Notamacropus eugenii: one gene and its partner. The protein of the gene in region 2 interacts with the protein of the main gene of each other region in a pairwise test. Links are inferred from orthologs where the notes say so. Each region holds a gene or a part of one and is shown on either strand. Other genes may lie near its edges. The genes, in order: PRTFDC1 and FLAD1.

The links.
Region 1: the proteins of FLAD1 (region 2) and PRTFDC1 interact in binary tests that used the Homo sapiens proteins (3 or more experiments, as listed by UniProt). The two-hybrid records come from large-scale screens. The link is inferred for Notamacropus eugenii from reciprocal best matches to the Homo sapiens genes FLAD1 and PRTFDC1.

The regions. Positions count from the first base shown.
Region 1 is NC_092874.1:65,763,312-65,774,773, forward strand, and holds the start of PRTFDC1 (phosphoribosyltransferase domain-containing protein 1), read right to left. Parts: upstream 4,256-11,462; 5' UTR 4,175-4,255; coding exon 4,127-4,174; exon of another isoform or gene 2,650-4,126; intron 1-2,649. UniProt on the Homo sapiens protein: Has low, barely detectable phosphoribosyltransferase activity (in vitro). Binds GMP, IMP and alpha-D-5-phosphoribosyl 1-pyrophosphate (PRPP). Is not expected to contribute to purine metabolism or GMP salvage.
Region 2 is NC_092873.1:379,068,348-379,079,422, reverse strand, and holds the start of FLAD1 (FAD synthase), read right to left. Parts: upstream 5,175-11,075; 5' UTR 4,937-5,174; exon of another isoform or gene 4,872-4,936; intron 4,773-4,871; 5' UTR 4,712-4,772; exon of another isoform or gene 4,377-4,711; 5' UTR 4,288-4,376; coding exon 4,225-4,287; intron 2,174-4,224; coding exon 1,429-2,173; intron 922-1,428; coding exon 774-921; intron 245-773; exon of another isoform or gene 180-244; coding exon 81-179; intron 1-80. Other genes in the region: CKS1B (cyclin-dependent kinases regulatory subunit 1), read right to left, coding at 7,662-7,714, 9,326-9,453. UniProt on the Homo sapiens protein: Catalyzes the adenylation of flavin mononucleotide (FMN) to form flavin adenine dinucleotide (FAD) coenzyme.

The DNA of each region.
Region 1 (11,462 bases), on a different chromosome or scaffold from region 2:
AAAAATTCTTTGCCTAATGTTACAATTGGACCAGTTTTAAAGCAGACTTTATTTTGCAAATACAAATGATTTTGGATCATCTGCATGGGGATTTTCTGCAGTGAATTTTTAATTCCTTTTTTAAGCCTGGGAATAACCAAGGGAAAATTCTAATCAGTTTCTAAGTGTTAAGGAGCAGGTGCTCAGATTAAGGGTTTTCAGTTTTTTATTTTCCTTTTAATTACATACACAGGAGGGAAAAACACTATGACTTTTCCACTGGCTTTCCCATTGCCTCTAGGATATAATACAGACTTCTCAGCCTCCAAAATGTAGCCCCAACCTATCTTTCCAGATTTTTTTCCACATTACTGCCTTTCCCAGACTCTATATTGCAGTCAACTGTTTCCTGATCTCAATGTCTTCTCCCCCATGCTATATATTCCCTTAAATCAGGGGTGCTTAACTCTTGTGTCATTAATTCCTTTGATACTTTGGTAAGCCTGTAAACTCTCAGAAAAGTGTTTTAAATGCATAAAATAAAATATGTAAGTTACAAAGGAAACCAGTTATATTGAAATGGTTATCAAAATACTTTTTAAAAGTTCACAGACCTCAGGTTAAAAACACTTGTCTCAAATCACCCAAGGATACAGAGCCTATGGGGCTCTCCACTGGATTTCCTCCATCAACCTGAAGCCTCTTGCATCCCTGAAATTCATATATTGGACTCATCCTGTGGCATCACTCTGATCGGACAGCTCCACCTAGAAACCTCACTTAGGGAGGGTGTCTAGGCCGACGATGACTCAGGATTTCCTTTACCATGCCCAGCACAACATAAGGCACCCTAGTCTCTTTCCTGACCTCTTCAGCTTTCTCTTATGTGTGGTCTTTTCCCACTAAAATGTAAGTTCCTTGAGGGTAGGGGTTATCTTTCTTTCTACTTGTATAAACACCCCAGCTCTGGCACACAGTAAGTGTTTAATAAATAATCATTGACTGGTTGATTGATCTACCTTTCAGAATCCTTTTCACATACTTTACACATGATTTGCTGCTTTATGGGAGTACTCAAAGAGCCAAGTACTTCAAAAGTTACAGTATCTGAATAAAAGATGTACATTTTTAGCATGACATTTTAGCAACACTACTTATTACTCACTTATTTTCTATCTTGAATACAAATTACTCACACTTTATTTTCTATCTTCTTTGGAACAGTCATTTTAGTAGTCATATGGCATTAAGGTAGTATGGAAAAATATCTAGCATTAATTAAGTGTGCACACTAAGCTAAGTGCTTTACAAATATCTCATTTGATCCTCATGACAACAAGGGGAGGTGAGATCTATTTCTATCCCCAGATAATACAGAAGAGGAAACTGAGGCAAAGAGAGGTAAAATGACTTACTCAAAGTCGCATAGTCAGTCTGAGGCTGGATTTACACCTAGGTCTTCCTGACTTCCTGGGCAGCCTAGTGACGCAGTGGATAGAGTACCAAGTCTGGCATTAGGAAAACTCATTTTCCTGAATTCAAATCTGGCATCAGATATTTACTAGCTGTGTGGCCCTGGGCAAGTCACTTAAACTTGTTTCCTCATCTACAAAATGAGCTAGAGAAGGGAATGTGCCAAGAAAACCTTAAACTGAAATGAACAACTTTCTAGCTCCAGGCTCAGCCCTGGATACACTACTGTGCCACCTAGCTCCAAGTAATAGTGGGTAGTAAGCCAACCCTGAGGTCAAAAAAATATGAATTCTTGCTCTTAATAACAAGTCACTTAACCTGTAAGCACCCCAGGAACTCTCTAAGACTAAACTGTAGAGAAAGTGCTGACCTGGGCATAAGAGTATTTCCTCATCAGAAACCATAAAACATACACATTACATGGTTCCTTTCCAAAAGGCAGAGTTCAATGAGATCTCAGAGAGGATCAAGGTCACACACTCTCACATTTTATTAATAAAGTGAAACCCAGGGGGATTTGTCCAGGGTCGCAAAAGGTAGCCCCGTAAATATCTAAGTATAAATAATGCTGGACTACATCCAGGATCAGTGAGGGTTAGAATCCCGCCCTACTCTAGGTAGTTTAATCACATAATTTTCTGTACCCCAGTTTTCTCTTTTAATCCAGACTCCACCACTACCACTTGTATAACATTGAGAAAGTCACCTTAGTTTCTATAGGCCTCAGTTTCCTCAAATGTAAAATGAGTGAGTCACACTACACAATTTCTAAGATCTTTTTGAAGTCTAAATTGGAGACCCTATGTAGCATATTCCTTACAGGATCTTTGTGAGGGAGGCACTTAAATAAGCTGTTTTAAATATTATCCGAACTCAGAACACAGAACCATTATAGCCAGCTGGTTCTAAGCTGTGAGAAATTTTACCTCTCTGACCTCCCCTCTTTATACTGGTTTAATTTTGTGATAGTGGAAATGGGGAAACAACAGTAAGCTATAATCTTAACTTCTTTTAGGGTTGTTTTCTTTGGGCTGTTTTTTGGTCAAGGAAATTAATTTTGAGAGAAATTTCTTGGTGGATTCTTTACTGGAAGGGAAAGCTTCAGTTCAGTGACTGAAAATTTAATTGCTTGAGGCAGAAGCCAAAACATTCCGAGCGATTGTTCTCATAACTACCCAATTTTGAAAGTGTTTGCTCTTTTCCGAAAACACATCCAAGTGAGCACGAAAATGCGTACCACAGCATATTTTAATGCCAAGACCCATGAACCTCCTCAAGGGGGATAATAAATGTAAAGCATTTTGTAAACCTTAAAGCACTGGAGCTAAAAGTAAAGCAACATTACTATTAATATGGAGGGTCATAAAAACCAGGTTCGATATAAGTCTTGGTGCAGGTTTAAGCTACTAAAGCTTGAGACTTTGGGGATATTGTTTACGTTGAATTGGTGATGAAACGCATCCTTAGAGATCATATTATCCAAGAAACTGAGACCCAGAGAAGTAACTTACCCAAGGAGTAACTGAATACACAGGTAGTAGAGTACAGAGACCAGGATTTCAACTGAGGTCTTCTGACTCCAAATCAATGGATTTCCACTAAAACCATGCCACTTTCACAATCCCCCTTGTTAAATGAAAGCTTGAACAACAAGTTCGAAAATGAAGGACCCTTAGTCCCTACCTGCCTCTGTCCATTTTTATTTTCTTCTTCTCCTCACTCCATTTATGCAAGTAAATATTATTTCCGGGTTAACTTACAGATCCCATTCAATTCCACAAAAATGTATTGAACTGAACTGACCTAGCCCCAAAACAATAAGATTTTGGGGGGATACCAAGGCCAGTATTTCCAATATCATTAACACTGAATGGAATTCTATAGGCCATGTAACACCCTGTAAAAGATATTTTCGGGGCTTTGCTTAGCATGGGGAAAACAGCTTCCACCTTTAACCTGAGTTGATGCTGGATCACAGCCAGAGATGGAAGAGTGGAAGGCGATTATATAAAAGATCAGAGCAAACACCTTTAAGCACCAGGGGTCTCACACCCTAGAGGGGCTGGTTCTCCAGGTAAGGACAGAGGTTCAGAGGTCAGCTGCCTAACTCTCATAATCCCACACTGATTCGGTCGAATTTTTCTTTTAATCTTACGGTAGTCTCAAGGCAGTGGAGGTAGGCGGAAAGGAAGGTAAGAAAAACCAAAGGGAAGGTTACAAAGCGCAGACCCACCTGCCTCTCTTACCTGCATCCTCCCCATCTCTAACCCTTCACTCCCATTTCTAAAAGCTAGGCCTGGAGTTTGCAAGGTTAGAGCAAGAACAAAAGGCAAGGTCAAAGGCCAGGGTGCTGGTAGGGCGGCTGGGGCTTTTGTGAGTGGAAGAGAAGAGAAGGTTGGAGTGTGGAAAAGATTGAGAAAGAGAAAAAAAAGAAAAAGCTATTTGCTGGGTTGGATTTTTCTAGGGCTAAGGATGGAGGGTCTTTGTTAGAAGATGGAAACAAAGTATCCCTGGGAGACACTGAGCGCCGCCCGAGGGTTTTCCTCCTCCTCTAAGAGGGAGAATTCCAGTCTGCAAAGAGATGGCCAAGGGTAGCAGCCTGGAGGGAGGGATGAAGGAGATACGGAGGGTGTGGGCGCTCACTACTGCCCGGAAATCAGGAGTTTCCATTTACCACGACCCCTCGCCTTTCGTCTCGCGCCTCCTCTCTCTTCCCAGCCATGTTTCTCCCGGAGGAAAGCAGGAAGTAAGGAAAGAAAGGGAGCCCGGAGCTCCAGGGAGGGGGTGAATGGGCAAGAGGGGCGGGGGCAGGGAGGGGAGGGGATGCGGCGCCGGGCACCGGCCTCTGGGGGACAGCTCCGCCCCTGCCCCCAGCCAGCTGGCGGGAAAGGATGGCTCTGCTGCCCCGGGCTCTCATTGGCCGGACGCCAACTCCTCCTTCTGCTTTTTTCCTCCTCGGCGCTGAGCTTCGGGAGGATGCCCTAATACGATACCTGAAGACCTGCTGCCAGCTCTGGGAGCCTCCGCGCTGGCCGGGGCTACTTGGCAGCCCCTCCTATGCCCGGTGTATGTTCCCCCAGCTGCTGAGGTGGGTGCCCCGGGGTGCTCGCGTCCCTGAGGTCTTTGAAAGTCCTGAACTATTCAGAAAAATGAAAAAAGCAGTGTCGACTGTTTCAGTTCTCCCCCCTCCCAAACATTTTCTTTTAAAACCTGAATTTAATCTTTAGGAAACACAAAAACAAAAACAAAAAATTCCAGTTGTTTAGAAAAAAAGGAGGATTGTATAAACACACAGAACTGCCATGCATAGTTTGTTTTTTTTATAGAAAGCTGGACAAATTACAATTATCCTGGTAGTAAAAAAAAATTGCTCTTTTTGTATCTCCATTCTGGAATTCTTTTTTATTTCTTCTGTGAATTTTAAGACGTCTTATGGATCCTCTTTTTCTCCCCCTTTCTGTTATCTATTGCTACTTACCACAGGACCTTCCTCTCCATAGAATCTCTCTCTTGTAACAACTATGTTTAGTCAAGAAAAATAAAGCCACATATTGACCAATATAGATTTCTAAGAGAATGAAGGGGCAGCAGGGGATTTCCATTTGCTTTTATCCTGCCAGATTCTCAACTCTGTTCCTCAAAGAAATCAGGCGCCTCTAAGGTCATATCCTAGACACATGAGTACTTGTGATATGTGTTTTTCCCATTTTTATTAATGATCATGGTCTCTGAACTCTCTCCAAGTTTTCCACATCCCCTCAAGTTGTGGAGCCCAGAACTGGACACAGTATTCCCCTAAGGGTGTGAGTTGGAGAACTTAAGGTGGAGGGTCTTTCTCAAATATGAACTGTATTAGGCTGCCGAGGTCCCTTCCAACTCTGAAGTTCTGTGGTCCTCTGAAAATAGATCCATTCAGGTCCCTTCTAGCACTGGGACTTTGGATTCTATGATATTTGAACTGACACTATGAAATCTGAATCAGCTTGGTACATTTTAGAATAACCCAATTGAGACCTAAAAGGGACTTGGGAAAAGATTCAGTATAACTTCTGGCTTGCTAAAACATTCTTAAACCATCCCCAGACATATGAGAATCTATGATGTGTGTGTTTTCCACTTTCTATAAATCCATGACCCCCATCTTTGAATTCTTTCCAAGTTTTCCACACCCCCTCAAATTATGGAGCCCAGAACTGGACATAGTACTCCACCAAGGGCCTGACTCAGAATTCTTTCCAAGGATTACTGTTTTATTCTTCAGATTTGTGTAGAAGCCAGGAAAAGGAATATGACCTTTGCCAAGCTTAAGGGATGGGAGGAGAGGATAGTCATCAACTAATTTTTATTGAACACCTACAGGGTGGGAAAACATATCAGCTGCATGAACACAGTCTCCTGAACATGAAGAGCATGTTTAAAAAGATTCTAAGTGTCTATGAAATGTGGTGGTTTCCAAATCAACAGGGCAGAATAATGCAACTTAGTTAATTTTGGTGCTTAAACTCATGTATGAGAGTCATTTTACCTAAAATGGAAAATATCAGTGAACACATGAGGATAAGAAGGGTGCTCAGGTAAGCATAATCACACCAAAATAGTGAAAATGGGTCCAGAGCTGCCTCCAATGAACATTTTTCATTGATTTCACAAAAGCAAAAAGTGCACCTTCTCAGATCCTTCCACCCTCCTTGGTGATGTACCATCACTTCAGATTCCATTATATTCATTTACTTATCTGCCTTCATGTTGTAGCCTTCCCTAGAATGTAAACACCTCAAAGGAAGGTACTTTCATTTTTGTCTTTGAATCATCAGAGCCTAGTTCCTATCACATAGTAGGTACTTCATGTTTGTTGAATTGTATTGAATCAAAGAAGGTAAAATGATGCTTTATGGGAAGTTTATTACATAAGAACCATGTATACATGGGCAGCTAGAATTTAGTGACTTTATACTAGGTTTGGGTTATAATTCATTAACCATGACTTAAAATAAATTTTATTGATTTCTTTGGTTTTTACACCACCAGCATATGTCTCTCAGTATCCCTTCTTCTGTCCTTTCCAAAAAGTTATCCCATATAGCAAACAATATTTTTAAAGAAAAAAGAGAGACAGCAAAAAACCAATTAATACATTGAAAAAGTAGGAAAACATGCAATGTACCATAGCCATGAACCTCTCACATCTTCAAAGGAATAGGCTGGAGGTATCTTCCCATTTTCATCTTTAGGGCCATATTGTTCATTTGTTTGTTTGTTTTATTTTGTAATTTTGCAGCATTTACCTTTTGTCTGCTCTGTGTTTTTTTCCCCCATTTCCCTTAACAACAACTTTTTTACAAGTCTTATCGATGCCTTTGGTTTTTCCACCATAGTAATTTCTTGAGAAAATCCCTCTCCTCTCTGAACCTTGTCTTGTTGCAAAGAAAAATACAAGCAAATATAATTGACCCAGTCACTTATATACCAAAGTATGCAACGTTCATATCCATATTTCACCCACTTCTCCATCAGTTGTTTCATTTACACTATTTTAGTCATTTGGCTCACCTCATTCTTCATCAATTTATACTGGTCTTCCCATTTCTCTGAAAATCTCATAATTTGTAACTTTAACAATGCTATTGCAACCTTTTATGAGGGATGAATATACTCATTGACCAAACTGGCACCATTAGGCAAATTATGCTTTCTACTATGTAAAAATCTGGGGGAGGAAATATAGAGACAATTGTTCTGTGACTAGTAGTCTTAGAGTATTGGGAGAGGGCACTTCCAAATGAGTTACTAAGAGTCCCACAATCTATGTGTCAGAGGCAGGAAAGATGTGAACCCAATTTCCTCATTCTCTATCCATTACTCCACATATATATATATCGTGTTTGTCCTTTGTTACTGAAGAAAACCATGTCATCAGAGAAATGATGACATGACTTGCACTTGACTTTGTTTTGAGTGAGGGAGGGCTGTGCAGGTCACCAGCTCACTTCTATACATATATGTATACACACACACACACACACACACACACACACACATATATATATGGTTATAGATCAGTTAATTAACGTATGTAGGCATTTGGCTGAGAGTAACAAGTGTTCAGCTTGGAATCTGGAAGACCTGAATTTGAGTTCTTCCTCAGACGCTAACTAGTTGCGTGACCCTGAACGGTCCTTAACCTCTCTGAGTTTCAGTTTCCTCATATATAAAATGAGGATAAGAATAACACCTATTGAACAGAGTCATTGTAGGGATCACATTCGATTACATATATGTATGGTATACACATATGTGCACATATATGTATGTCATGCTTTTTAAACCTTAAAGCACTTTAGCAGTTACTATATAGAGACAGCAGCGGCACAGGGAAAATGATGATGGATTTGAAGTCAGAGGACCCCAGTTTTAATTCTGAACTTGCCATCTATACCCATATGACCTTGGGCGAGTAGTTGACCCTGTGGGGGCCTTAGTTTCTTTCTATATAAAATTAGGGGATTAGACAAGGTGATTTCTGAGATCCCTTACAGCTCTAAATCTATGATCTTATAAATACTTTGTAAAAGCCATCAAGCAATATATAGTGAGTTATCAGATGCTTTATCTTCACTTAATAGTTGAAAAATTATTCCATCTCTGTGAATACTAACTCCAATGAAAAAGACTGAAATCCTCTTATACTCCATCCTATACTATTCTTGTCCCTGTTTCACCATAAAATTTCCATAAAGGGAGTGTTCAATGAACTAGAAGTCTTCCTTTCAATTTATTTTTTTGTTTAGGGAGCAGTGAAAGCACTTCACAATTTCCTGATGACATTCTAACTTGATATCAGTTTAATTCCAGTCTCAAATCATTATCCATGTGCAGCACTTATCTCATATATTTATGTTTGTGAACTAACTTGTCAGTTGCCTACGTACCTACATGCTATAATGTTATAAAGCAATATGAATTTTCATTTAGTTTTTCCAGGGCAAATGGTTAGATCGATGTCTTTTGCATTTTTATGAATTTCACTATGGAATCTGTGTAGTGTTCAGGGTTTGATTGCCAACCTGGATCCTATGACAGGAAATAGAAAACAGACCCCTGCCATTAGATAACTTATGATCTAGTTGTGGAAATTGTATGAAACTGCAAGATAACAGAACTAGCAAATGTTGAAAATCACAAGGATCTATAGTATCTCTTTTTATAGTAAGAATTAAAAATAATTTTTACATGCAACCCCATAGCTACACTCTGAAAAATTGCAGGTTGTCAATTGAGGGAATGGAAACCATATAACCACAGCATTGGAAATATCCATTTGCCTATTCATCCAAAGCAAGAAGTGCTTGCTGAGCATGAGAAATAAGGAAAAAAAGAGTAGACTTGATTAATTTTGCTATCTGTCTCCTCTGACTTCAGGTGTTTCTTTATAAGATAGTTTTGATGTATTATCTTAAAAGGATAAAATTCATTATCAAGGGTTGGAAACTGGTGCAAGGAAACCCTTATAGAATATTTATTAGATAGTGCAAAGTTTATTTTTCAAGGAATAACATTAACTCAGGTATCTAGGCTCTATCCCTTAACTTGACATTGGCATATTGTATAGTCTGGGGGAAAGTGTGCTGGGTATGCCTCACTGATCTCCTATGAAGATTTTTTGACTAGAAGTCAGAAGTTTTTTGTTCTTGTCCTACTTCTGCCATTTAACTATCCATGATAATTCATATCACATGGTCAAGTCACTTATCATCCCAGTGCCTCAGCTGTTCTAATTGTAAAACGGGGAGGATAAAGACCTGTCTTATCCTCTAAGATTACATAATGTGTGTGTTAAATAAGATAATATATGTGAAAGGCCCTTGGAAAAATATTGCCAAAATGTAAGGTGTTATTAGTCTGGGATGTGGTGAGAATTAATGAGATAATGTTAGCAAAGAAAAGAGAACTGTCTTTTATATGGTGAAACACAAGTAAAGGGTAGCCTGAAATTACTGCCCAGAGACAAGTTAGGGCTGGCATAAGAAAACATGCTGGATACAGAAAAATCAGAAAATTTAGAATTAGGAGCATAAGCAGATAGTGAATTTAGTTCTGTTTAGATGTAAAAAGAGTGAGATTCACAGCTCTGAAAACCCAAGGCAAGGGAAATGCATTGAGCTTTTTCCTATTTTTCCTTACCTTTAGGTAGCAAGTCCAAAGAGAGAAAGACATGAACCCCACAAGCAGCAGGTTCAGTGGAGTTTGGGATCTGGGGTCTGACCACAGGCACTTGTAGGTCACCCATCTTGGGCCTGCTATTTGACTCCTTGTTATATATTTAATTTTATCGATAGAATAATTTGTTTCTCATTAGTCAGCTTGTGATGTCTTTCATTAAGTCATTAGTTCAATTCCCCACTCTAATTCATTATTATTTATTTAATGAAATAAAGAACTGTCCTTCCTCAATAGTAATTGTTCTTATTTATCTGTATAATTAATGAACATACAAGTACGACAGAATTAAAATTTCTGAATGCATAATTTTATTAACAAATGAGAACAATAAGATAGTCATGTACCATCATTTATAATACCTCTTCTATAATCAGATGGTTCCTACCATAGCGAAAACCATGAAGATACACAGATGCTATTAAAGATCACAGGATTTAAGGACCTTGAAGATTGCCCAGGCCAATACCCTCATTTTATAAGTGAGGAAACTAAAGCCCAGAAAGGGAATTTGTCCATAGTCAAACAGTTAGTAAATAGGTAGAATCAGCATTTAAACCTACGTCCTCTGATTCCAGTGCCAGGTCTGGAGTCAGGAAAACCTGAATTCAAATCCAGCCTCAGATACTTACTAACTGTACAGCCTTGGGTAAGTCACTTAACCCTATTTGCCTTAGTTTCTTCATCTGTAAAATGAGCTGGAGAAGGAAATGGCAAACCATTTCAGTATGTTTATCAAGAAAATCAAGAGTCAGCCATTGCTAAAATGATTAAACTACTACTTCTGATTTCAAATCTAGTGATAGGCATGCTACTCCACATTTGAACTCTCCAGAATTCCCCTCTCAGGCTCGGCTGTTGGAATGCTTCTCACCATTGTCTGGTGGTAATGGGAAGTAGACTCAAATCATGGGACTTCAGCTTGAAATCTGGCTGTCACCTCCTACCTGTGTGAAAATGGCAAAGTTGCTTCATGCCACTTGCTTCCTCTGTAAAATGAGGAGGCTAAAGTAGGTGATGAGATAGGTATTGTCCATTCTAAGGTCTCTTCCTTCTCCAGATCATATGATTACTCTCAGCAGTTGGGTGGCCCTCCACCAAATTTATGAAAGGTATGAAATTTAAACCTGCAAATATTTTGCTAGTTGAAGTCTGTTATTGAGTAAATTTTTTATGCAGAACATGGAATACTTTTCTCTCCTGAGATTTGAGACAGTCACTTGGTGTCAGCATACACGCTAAGTTCAGAATGATAGCTAATTGTTCATAAGCACTGACACATGAAAATAAATATAAAATGTTCAGCCTGGAAACCACTCTGAAACACACAAACATATGGAACCTGGTGACTCAGATGGTTAGTCACTGAGTCACTGGTTAGAGTCTGGATGAAATCCATTGTGGCCAAAAGCCAGTAAAAATGATGATGATATTTTGCTTTCCTGTAGTTCAGGACAGAAAACACCATATTAATGTTAGGTGAACAAAAACATAAAAATTGTAATTTAGGTTAAGGATCTTATTCCATTTGAGGAAGCTGGTTTCCTTTTCCACATAGGGATGGAAAAAAATCGGTGGCATCTTCTTTGCCTGCTGGAATTATGTTCTCAGAGCTGTTGGTACTCCTTCCCAGAATGTAAATTTGAATCCATCTGTGCGTTCTCCTGCAGAACCAGGAGTCCTTTTTACTTCTTCCTGAAAATCTTCCACATTCAACATGATGGAGGCCTTTCCGAAATCATGGGAGGAGCAGGAGAGGGGTAGCAATGCAGCACAAGGTTTGTCAACATACA
Region 2 (11,075 bases):
CCATAATCAAACAACTCCCCACTCCTCTTAACCCCCATAACCCTCAGCCTTCCCAGCCTGAAATTCCTGATCCCCAGTACCTCTTGGCTGTCTCCTTCAGAAACTGCTCCAGTTCTGGGAAGGGGGAGATGCTACGGATGTAGAGAATCTTCAGCGGGACCTTGTGCTCTGGGAATTTCCTTTGGGTAGGTGATGAGAAGGGTCAGGAGGACCCACAGGTTCCTCCATTTGTGTAGAGTGCCCCCTAAAACAGTGTATGTACACTAGCCTCTCCCCCACCCCATCCTGGAATGCCCTCCTTTGTCTTCTTATATCTAAATCCTGCACATCCCACCTCTCAAGGTCCAGCTTAATATTTCCTTCCTCCAGGAAGCCAGCCCTAGCCTGATTTCTCCCAACTTGTTAAATATTTATCTTCTACAGAACATGATCCAACATTTGGTTAGTGAACGTGTTTTCACTGCTCTTTGGTTGTCATGTACTCCACTAATGTCACATCAACAAGACTGTAAGCTCCATGGGGGTAGGGCTTGCGTCTAATGAACCTTAGGTATCTTCCCTAGTTCCTGCATAGGGCCTTGCATGTACATAAAAGACACTCTACATACAAATCCTCGTTGAACTGATATGAATAGACTTCCTCCTCAACACCGACACACATCCAGGAGGGAGAAACAGAGTGAATGGACCCAGGAAGGAGGGAGGGGAGCCACTGGTGGTAAGCAGTGGGGGAACATGCATCTTGGGAGGGCCTCTCCCAGGACTTGCAGTACCTCTGGACAGCAGCGTGGAAGAGGTGTAGAAGGGCAGTGCAGTCCTTTCCCCCGTTGAAGCCCACACAGAGCTGGGTCAGGCTGTACCTCGACAGGGCCTCCTCCATTGTCTTCAGGGCCCCTGCTACCTTCTTCCCCAGGGGAGTTCCTGCCAGGAATATTGGGAGCACAGGGGAGACATAGGCATGAACAGTCAGAGGGGATCATGCAATGATTCCTCAGGACTTTCCCAGCCTCTGTACAGCTTAACATCCCTTCCACTGGATCCCACCCCAGGGGCTAGAACCAAGTTAGTTCTCTGAACACTAGAACATACAGAATCTGAGAGTTTAAAGAAAGCTAAAGAGGTCATCTCTAGTCCAGCCCTTTGCCTGGGAAGCATGCATTTTCTCTATATGCATTCCTTCCCTGACAAGCAGTGGCTTTCTGAGAAATCAGAGGCAGTATCCAAAAGCAGAGTGAAGGTCTCACTGCCTATTCACTAGCACTATTTGGACGGAAAGGAAAACTACAGGTAGCAAACTGCACCTCTTTTTACAAGATCTACTGGCTACTGAACCCATTCCTAAGACAAATACAAAAACTTCTGCCAGGGACAGGAGATAGCCAAAGGAATGCAATGCCCGCTTCCCATCCTCCACAGCCTTCTTCTTACCTGACTGGGCTAACTTGTACACAGCTTCCCCAGCCTTCTCCACTGCATTGGGTACAAATGGCACCAGGGCTCCAGGAGGTAAGTGAGCAGTCAGATAGGCCTTCGCTTCCTCCACTGCTGCCTCTTCATCTGAGTCCAGGGTCAGCTTAACCCGGTAGTAATTACTGCTCCACTCTGGATAGGAACCAATGCCAAGTCTTCGTCCAAAGTGAGCCTGTGCTTCTGTGAGAATGGAAGCAACTGCCGATTCCTCCACTGTCAGGTATAACTCTCGAAGGTGGAATTGCACCCCTTCATTCCGGAATAGACTTGATAGCCCCCCGAGTACCCGCTGCTGCAGTTCTGGAATGCCTGGGAAGAGGTAGACATTCCGGACAGAAACCAAGGGGAATCGGAAGGGGACTCCAGTTTCAGGGTCAGTACCATAGTGCAGACAGGCAGTGGAAGGCACCTGAACCAGCTTCTCTTGCCCAGTGCCCCCCAGGGCTCTCACAGCTTTTTCCAACTCAGGATGGGGCTGGAGTTTGTCTCCAAAAGCCTGGGCTACAGCCTCAAAGGTGATATCGTCATGAGTGGGTCCAATGCCACCAGAGGTGAGGACATGGGTGAAGCGGGCAGAGAAGGAAGCCACCTCCTCTGCAATGGCCATCACCTCATCTGGTACCACAGAGATCCGGGACACCCGTACACCCATGGAGCGAAGAGTCCGGCACAGAAAATAGGTGTTGGTGTCCTGAGTATAGCCCTGGGGAAAGTGGGGGACAGAGAGTAAAGAGATTTGATGTTTTGTTTTGTGGAGGGAGGGTAGCTACTCCCACGTGTTGGAAAAGAAAGTCTCTTTCTTGGAGGTACCATAGAGATAGGGAGATGGGAGAGAGAAATGAGTGAGAGTGGATAATGGAAAATCATTTAGGGTTAAGATTTGGAACGGAGTCACTCACTGAGTCAGATCCATGATGCTCTACTTAGCCTTATACTCTTCTCTTTTGGTGAGACTGTCTAGTGTCATAGCTTCAAACATCACCTCCATGAAGATGACTCCTCAATCATTTATTTCCAGCACTTACTACTCCTTTGAGCTCTCATATCTTCAATTGCTCCTGAATGTATCTACTCAGATGTACTGCTGCAACTCATTAGGTCCAAAATAAAGCTATGCTTCTCCTAGAACCTGCCATTGCTCATGAATTTCCTATTTCAGAATGACGTAACTTTTTTCTTTCCCTTCTCCTTCATTTCTAATCAGTTGCCAAGTCCTGTCTATTCTAAGTCTCCCAATTTTTACATGGCAAATCTGACATTTGAACCCAGTTAGTCCAGTGCTCTTCCATTTTCACTGCTAACATCCTGAATTAGGTCCTCTTTCATCTCTTCTGGCCTGCACTGTTACCATGTCCCCAATCTTCCTTCCAGGCTCTCCTCTCCTCTACCCATCTTACACAGGACACTCAGACCAGTCCTCCAAAAATAATGCTCAAAGTGGTCAAAATCCTTCAGTGCCCTTCTACTTCTCACTGACTACAATCCAAATTCCTCATTTTGGCATTCGATTATCTGGCTACTTTGCTATGCACTACCCGCCTACATGTTTGTATTCCAGCCCAATCAGACTATTTACTGCTCACTGAATTGGACTTGTGTTTCTTTATCTTCAGTCCATTGGTCAGGCTGTTCCCTCCCCGTCAGGTCCTCCCCACCATTTCTACCACTTTCAAGGTTCAGCTCCAAAGCTTCCTCCATGCATCTTCACTTAGTCACCTGGAAGTGATCTCTTTCTTTTTGGAGCTCCAAACACAGTGAATCACTTATTCAAATGGCACTTCTTAAAGGTCTTTAGTTATTTCAACAGGAGTGTAATTCCCCTTTCACTTTTTACCTTTAACCCCCTTTATGTAAGCTGTCTTCCCCATTAGTAACTACCATTTATATGCCACCTTCTATGTGTCTGGCACTGTACTAAGCACTTCTACAATTACTATCTTGTTTGATCCTCACAAAAACCCTGGGAGATAGTAGCTATATTATCCCTATTTTACAGTTGAGGAAACGGAGGCAAAGAGATTCAGTGATCTGCCCAGGGTCACACAGCTAGTAAGTGACTTTGGGTCTTGCACTGTGCTACCTGGTTGCCATTAGAATATAAGCTCTCTGAAGGCAGGTAGTACCTTGGTTTTGCTTTTATTACTATCCCCAGCACTTGGCATAGTGCCTGGCACATAGCAAACACTTAAAAAAGGCTCCTTCCTTCTTTAAGTATATAGACAGCTTTGCATTTCCCATGCTATTTAATATGCAGTCCTACATATACAGTAGGCGCTCAATAAATGTCTGTTAGATGAATGAATATATAACCTACCCCCACCTCCACAGAGTTCCTTTGGGAGTTTTACTGAAGCCAGGGAAAAAGAGAGCTGAGCAAAATGAACAGGGGAGTGAGTTAAGTAACCAGTTTGGCAAAGGGCTCAGTCACGTTGTTAGGTGTGTGGCAGTGGGAGGTCTGTGTCATGGAACCTGCAAGTTTAGAGTAAGCGGCACTAGAGGAAGTTCACTTCCTCTTTCCCAGCTGGACTAAGCTGAACGTTTCTCCCCCTCAATTAAAATCAATAAGCTATCCTCCTGGGAAAAGAAAGAGAGAAAGGAAGAGCTGCCTAGGGTCCAGGTCCACAACTGCATCCCTGCCTGCTGAGGCATGCTCCCGGGGACTCCTTTGCCGCAGGTGCATGCTGGTGGGGTCCCCTTTTCGTGTGGTACACACCAGAGCAAGTGCACACGCACACCCCCCCCATACACACCCACCTTGAGGATTTCATCTCCGATGATGATGATGCCAGCAGTCACATTTTTCCTGGGGGTGGCCATGGTCCAACTTCTTCGATCCTGTAGTACCCTCCAGTAGCCACCCAGGCCCCGGGCGAGCACTCGGGAACATGAGGGTCCCGCCAGCTCTACTGAAAATCAGGAGCTGTGGCTCAGGTGAGGTATCAGCCTGATGGGCGACAAGACTAGAATGGAAGGAACTAAAAGGAAAACTGTGGAACGGTGAAGGATCCTTAAGTTGGGGGTCGGAGAATCAAAGAACATCCGCACTGGGGATGACTTTAGGGGGTGATCTAATACGACTCCATTATTTTGCTAAGGGGGAAACTGAGGCTCAAGGGGGAGTGACTGCTCAGTGGCACACTGCACACTGTGCTGCAGCAGACTCCCCTGGAAGCAAAGTGAAGAAGGGCCTTGGAGTAGGGAAAACACAGCACTGGGTTCGAGTCCCAGCTCTGTGACTTACTCACTGTGCGACCTTGGATGAGTCACGGAACTCTCTGGACTGCGGATCTCCGTTTCCCCATCTGCAAAATAAAGGGAGTTTGGATCTTAGGCGTGCTGCGGGCGAGCTCGGGCCGGCGCTGGATCGCGGCCCGACGCTCCCTTCCCCACATCACACGCACCCTTTTCAGAGCCCACGGCACGCTCGCTGCCAGCCCTTTAAACGTCGCTTCGGCGTGTCGGGTACCTGTGTCCTTAATCGCCCGGTCCCTGGGCCCCGCACGCGGAGACAATGCCTGTCCTTCTCCGGGCCCGACAGCGCGCTTTTTCCAAACTGGGCCCCCAATCCCGCTCGGGCCGCGCTGCGGGTTCCCTGCCCACCAGCCAGGATTTCTCCGCTCTCACCCGCCCCTTTGCCCCTTCCCCACTTGTTTCCAACAACTCCCTCCCGGCTGTCCCGACGCGGCTTCCGTAGCTAGCGTTCCTCCTCAGCTAGACAACCGCTCTGCGCCGATTGGCCCGGGCTTTCCCCGCCCCGTTCAGCCCCCGGAGGCTTCATTGGCGCAGGCGGCTGTCCCTCGCTTGTCCCCGAACGGAGGGCTGGAGAGGCGCCGGCTTGTTGTTGGTGGAGAGCACGTGGCCGTCACGCCCGGAAGTGCTGGGACGCGGGGTGGTGCCCTCATTCCTCCCCCTCCGGCCAGGTTTCCATAGAAACTGTCTTAACAGTGGGCCTCAAAGAGCTTTTGGTCTGCTGTAGCTGAATCCCGGCGGGACTAAAGGACGCAGTCCGATAGCACAGGCCACAGCTCTGCCCGCAGTAGTTGCGGGGTGAAGGTGCAGTGGGCACGTAGCTGGTTGGTGGGTGAGACGACATTTTGATTAGACACCACCACCTTCTAAGGTGAGGGCACAGCACTTTTCTGTGGATGCTTAATAGAGGATCAGGGCCCGGCTAGTCCATTGCCTCTAAAAGACGAACATTTCTTGGGGAGAGGGAGGAAATTCTGCCCTGGGCACCTAGTCAAAACACGAGAATTGGAAGTATCTTTAAAAGAAAGCTAATACCTTGCCACACCCAGCTATGCTTAGCAGCCCCGGAACTTTCCCTGCAGTGTCAAGTACATAGTTCACTTGTCTTTTATTTTTAGGGCCATTTACAGGTAAGGCCCTCTCCCTAGCCTTCCTAAGTAACCAGCGTTAGAGCGCTTGCTATAGGAGGCCTTGTTTACGCAACACTAGTAAGTGGAGCTTGTAGCCTTAAGGTAACAACCACGTGATTCATTGGGTTGTTGCCTCAGTCAAACTAAAACCTGTTAAAGGCTTCAGATTAAAGAGGCCAAGGTCTCCCACTGCATCCAGGGCCATTGGTTGCCTTATCTACATCTGGCCCCTGGACCCAGATGGCACCGGAGGAGAAAGTGAGGCTGGTGACTTTGCACAGCCCTCCTGTACTTAGATCCAATTCACTTGCATGTCATGGCATCACCTCCCTGATGTCATGGCCCTTTTTGAGGACAAACAAGACAGTCCATCAGAGTTGTAAGATACTTTGTAACTGTCTGGCTTTGGGCAAAATCACTTAACCTACAAGCCTCATTTTCCAAACCTTTGCAAGCCTGATACTATAGAAATGTGAGCTATTTCATCTGACTAAAAATCTCCAACTCCCGGTAAGACTGTCATGAGGAAGAAGTGGTCTCATTTTTAAAAACCAATAACAGCACGACAGAATGACTGACTTCTTATCCACTCAAACCAAAGGTTAGTCACTTGGTCAAAGGCCACCTAGAATTCAAACCCAGCAACTTTTTCTTATCGGGACAATTTCATGAATCTCCACCTCAGGAAGAGGAAGCCAAAGGGGTGTCCTTGGAAACCAAGATAATTATTTAGTGTGTCTGGATTTTTTTTTTCTTTAAAGAACTTCTACCAGCTCCTTAACTGTTTCCCATAACTGCTCATTGTATCATATCTGCACTCTGTCAGTGTGACCTGAACAAGATCTCAAACTGGCCGCTTCTAATCTGTAGACTATCCTATTCAGGCCAAACACTTAACAGGGAATGTTATTAAATGTTCAAAGAAATAGGTAGAAAAGCAGCACCTCAGAGGGGTCTTTAGCTCAGAAGACTGTCAACACTACACTAAAGGGAATTTAGCTTGATGAAAATCTATTCTTGTCATAGATTATATGTGGAACTGTTGTGAATGGAATTATTCCCTTTATTCGTGCCTGAATTCGTAAAGCAATGCTTTGGCAGAAGACATACAAATATAAAATGTGACAGACTAATGCATTTTTTTGAGAGAGCTGCCCTGGACCAGTGAAAGTTTGAAATGAAGATTTTCAGCAGATGGCTAAGAATAATCAGCTTAACATATTTTTGAAATTAAATCCCTGAAATGAGCCTCATTATCCGAAAAGTACTGAAGTCAGATTAGGACCTTGGTATCTCATGAATGATACTCATCCTGATCACAGGCAGAAGGAATCTAAGAATGAATTACAAAAACTTCCTCTTTATTCAAGGGATTTCAACAGAACAGACATTTCTTGAATAAAATGGAAAGTTTCCAACAAATGAAAATATAAATCCATTAAGTCACCTTATACACAACCTGGTGGGGAAAAAAACACAAACAATTATACATGCCCCACAACTAAACAATGATGAATCTTCAGTCACTCTTGGTGCTTTGTCCATCTACTTGATGTGTTCAGCTTGATAAGAAACTTGCCATGGCTTTTGGAGGCAAAGCTCAGCTGAAGTTACATTCATCAGAGCACCCAATGGGGTAGTGGTGGTGATGTCAGCTTTGCTCAAGAAACAAGTCACCAGCACTTTCAAACAGTGTATTAATCATCCCTTAAATATCCCAAGTGAGAAACAAGAAGGCAACACTATTAGCAGAAAGATGTTAGCGGGTTAAGGACAGCTATGTACAGCTTGGAACAGAAATGGCATGCTCTTTCATTTCTTAGGCTTCTTAGGCAGTGGCCGCCGGAACAGCAAAATGTGAGGCTCTGGAAGACAGGGAAATAGATATTTCGATAAGATGAGACAAACTGGACTGTTCTCATGAGCTAGTTCCCCCTTATGTCATCATCTATGTGTTAATAAGCACACTCTAATATTTAGAACTTAAGTTTTATTTTACCATTCAGCCCTAGAAAAAGACCAAGCAGCCTGGTCTGCCAGCAAATATATTAATGCTCACATCAATTCTCCCTCTACGTGGTTTGCCTAGATATAGAAGTGTCTTTTATTAGCGTTGCCCTGAAGCTGAATTTCTGATGTTTTATCTGGTGATTTATAAAAAACAAGTTTTTTTGGCTATAGTTCAAAGATGTCCAAGCACAAAAATTGGGTTTCTGAGGGGCAGAGAAGCAGGGGAGGTAGAGATAGTTAATAGGGAATATTTGACTTTAGTTTATAACTAGTCCGTAATCAGAGAGTACAGAATTTAAGAGGAGTGTCCACATAGACAGGCTCCCAACTGCTTTTCAGATATCTTGAATGGATGTCCAGTAGACATCTTAAACAAACTTATTGTGTCCAAAACTGAACTCATCTTTTCCCCAATGCCTTCTCCTCCTACCTTCCTTATTACAGTAGAGGGAAACACCATCCTCCCAGACCTTCAGGCCTGAAACTTAGCCATCCTTAACTCCTCACCATCTCTCATTTCCATAGCCAATCTGTTGCAAAGCCTGTCAACTTCACTTTCCAACATTTCTTGAATATACCTCCACCTCTCCTCTGACACTGCCACTGCTGTAGGGCAGGCTATCATCACTTCAGGCCTGGATTATTATAACAGCCTGCTGGTAGGTCAGCCTGCCACTGGCCTTTTCCTACTCCAATCCGTTTTTCATAGAGCTGTCAAAATGAGTTTCCTGAAGCACAAGTCTGACTATATCATCCCTCTATTCGATAAATTCTAGTGGCTTCCTATTGCCTCCAGAATTAAATACAAAATTCTCTGGCTTTCGAAGTTGTCCTCCCACCTTTCATGTTTTCTTAGGCCTTACACACCTCTACATACTCTTCAATCCAGTGATACTGGCCTCCTTGCTATTCCATGAACAAGACAGTCATCTCTTGGCTCCAGTTATTTTCTCTGGCTGTCACCCATGCCTGTAATACTTTCCCGCCTCATCTCTGCCTTCTGGCTTCCTTCAAGTCCCAACAAAAATCCCACATTCTACAGGACAACTTTCCTTCTTAATTTTAGTGTCCTCCTTCTGTTAATTATTTCCTATTTATCCCATACAGTTTGTTTGTACAATCTGTTTGCTTATGGTATCCCCCATTAGATTATGAGCTGGTTGAGAATAGAGACTGTCTTGTGCTTAGCACATAGTAAAGGCTTACTGACCAAATGACAAGCCATCATTGAACTCTAGATATTTTGCTATTTGTGGTCTCCATGTAGGGCAAGGGAACACTCATCTATCCCACCTAAATAGATAAAATAATCAGCAATTACATGGGCACAGATGCTTAAGACAATAAATTATTAACTATTACATCCCTCCTCCCCCTTCCCATCTTCTTAGCTTATTACATTGATATATGATCTTATTACTTTTCCAGTGTTATCCTATAGAGTTGCTTTCAGATTTTCCACTGACCTGGTTCATGGATCATGTAATGGACCCATCCCTGACTCTGCTGGACACCAAGGTTCCTCCACTCAGACTCAGACATCAAGTGGGTCTTAGGGACCAGTTTGGCTATGTCCTTGGGCAACATGACGTGCCTGTAACAGAAATGTGGGGATGGTTTGCATCTAAGCATGGTGCAGTTAGGCAATCAACACTCTATATTATGCCTTTCACTCTGTACAGAAAAGTATATCATGGACTAAAGAGAAGATACAAAGGAACAATAACAATTCCTGCTCTCAAGGGAGCTTACAATCTAATGGGGGATTTCTTCAGTCAAGACTACTATAGAAACACTTTCAAAAACTTGTAATATATTATTGAGAACTTTAAAACTAATACTGTATTTGATTAATGATGCTGATGAGAATGGCATTATTAGAATACTTATAACAGTTGATTGATGATAGATCTTAATCAATATCTGGGAAAGAGCATGACTCTGGGGAGGGAATGTGGATAGTGGTTCTGAAAAGCCAGTGTACAGAGTAGAAAACTAAATGGTTTTTAATTTTCTGATCCTTTTTTGGAAAACTTGAAATACTTCTTAGCTAAGGTTCTGAGCTGGGGTCTAAGTCACTCAGGGAGGCAGATGAGCTGTTTGATTATTTGAAATCTGAGTCCTCGTGACCCAATTTGAGCTTCAGTAATGTCAATGAATATTTGCTGAATGTTCCTTGTATACAAAGGTGTCTCTGTATCCAAATAAATGTTTCTTGCCAGAATCCCTGATTAGGGATTTATATGCTAACAGGCTGAGAATTAAAAACCACCAACCTGAACAAATAATTTTCATTTAACACAGTAGCACAGGATATTTTAAACCAAGGCCTACTACAAAGCCATTTCAGCTGGGGTTCCAAAACGGCATGTTCCCCAGGACCAAACAAGTGACTTTTCCTTATTCTGATTTAATAATTGGGGGGACTGATAAATGAGTCTCTGTTATTAGTTTATTTAAAAGAACAGCTAAGAAGTATTGGGTTTTTATCTAGTTCTCTGCAACATTTTGTATGAGAGTAGGCACCCAATATATGTTGGCTGGTGTTAGCAGTTGCCTAGGGTGTACAGAACCCTATGCTAGGTCCTGTGAGATATACAAATGAAATCCATGTCTTTTCCTTGTATTTAAGGAACCTGAAATCTAGTTGGAAAGAATTGGAGATATCTTAAGAACCTTTATATTATAGCAAGAACAAATTAAAACGTTCCAATAGGTGGTTAGTAAATTATCTGTTTTCCAAAACACAAAGGTCTTAGAATTTTTGCAAGAGTGCCATTAAAATCCATTAAAAGAATTTCTCTTCTACATCTAGTTAACATGGGATCTGCCCCGACAGTTGCAGTGGCAGGTACAACTTACTATCATAGAATACAATGCTTTACATTTGACAGCACTACTAATAATTAAGAAGGGAGTCCTTAGTCAGAGGTACCAATAGGTCCTAGTTCTGTTTTCTGAAGCCACCTAGACTAAGTCTAATCCTTTTTTCTAAATGGTCCTTCAAATTTATGTGGATATCTGTCATATCCTTCCTCCCTTCAATCCATTATTTACTAGCATATTTAACGCTTTCGACGTCCTTCCCACTCACTGAACCCTCACAGTTCCAGGGGCAAAGGAGCCCTCAATCACCCCCTTTTTTCTTGGGGTTAATGGATATCACCGGCGGGCCTGCCACACTCTCAGTTCCATAACCACCTGGCATTCCTTAGG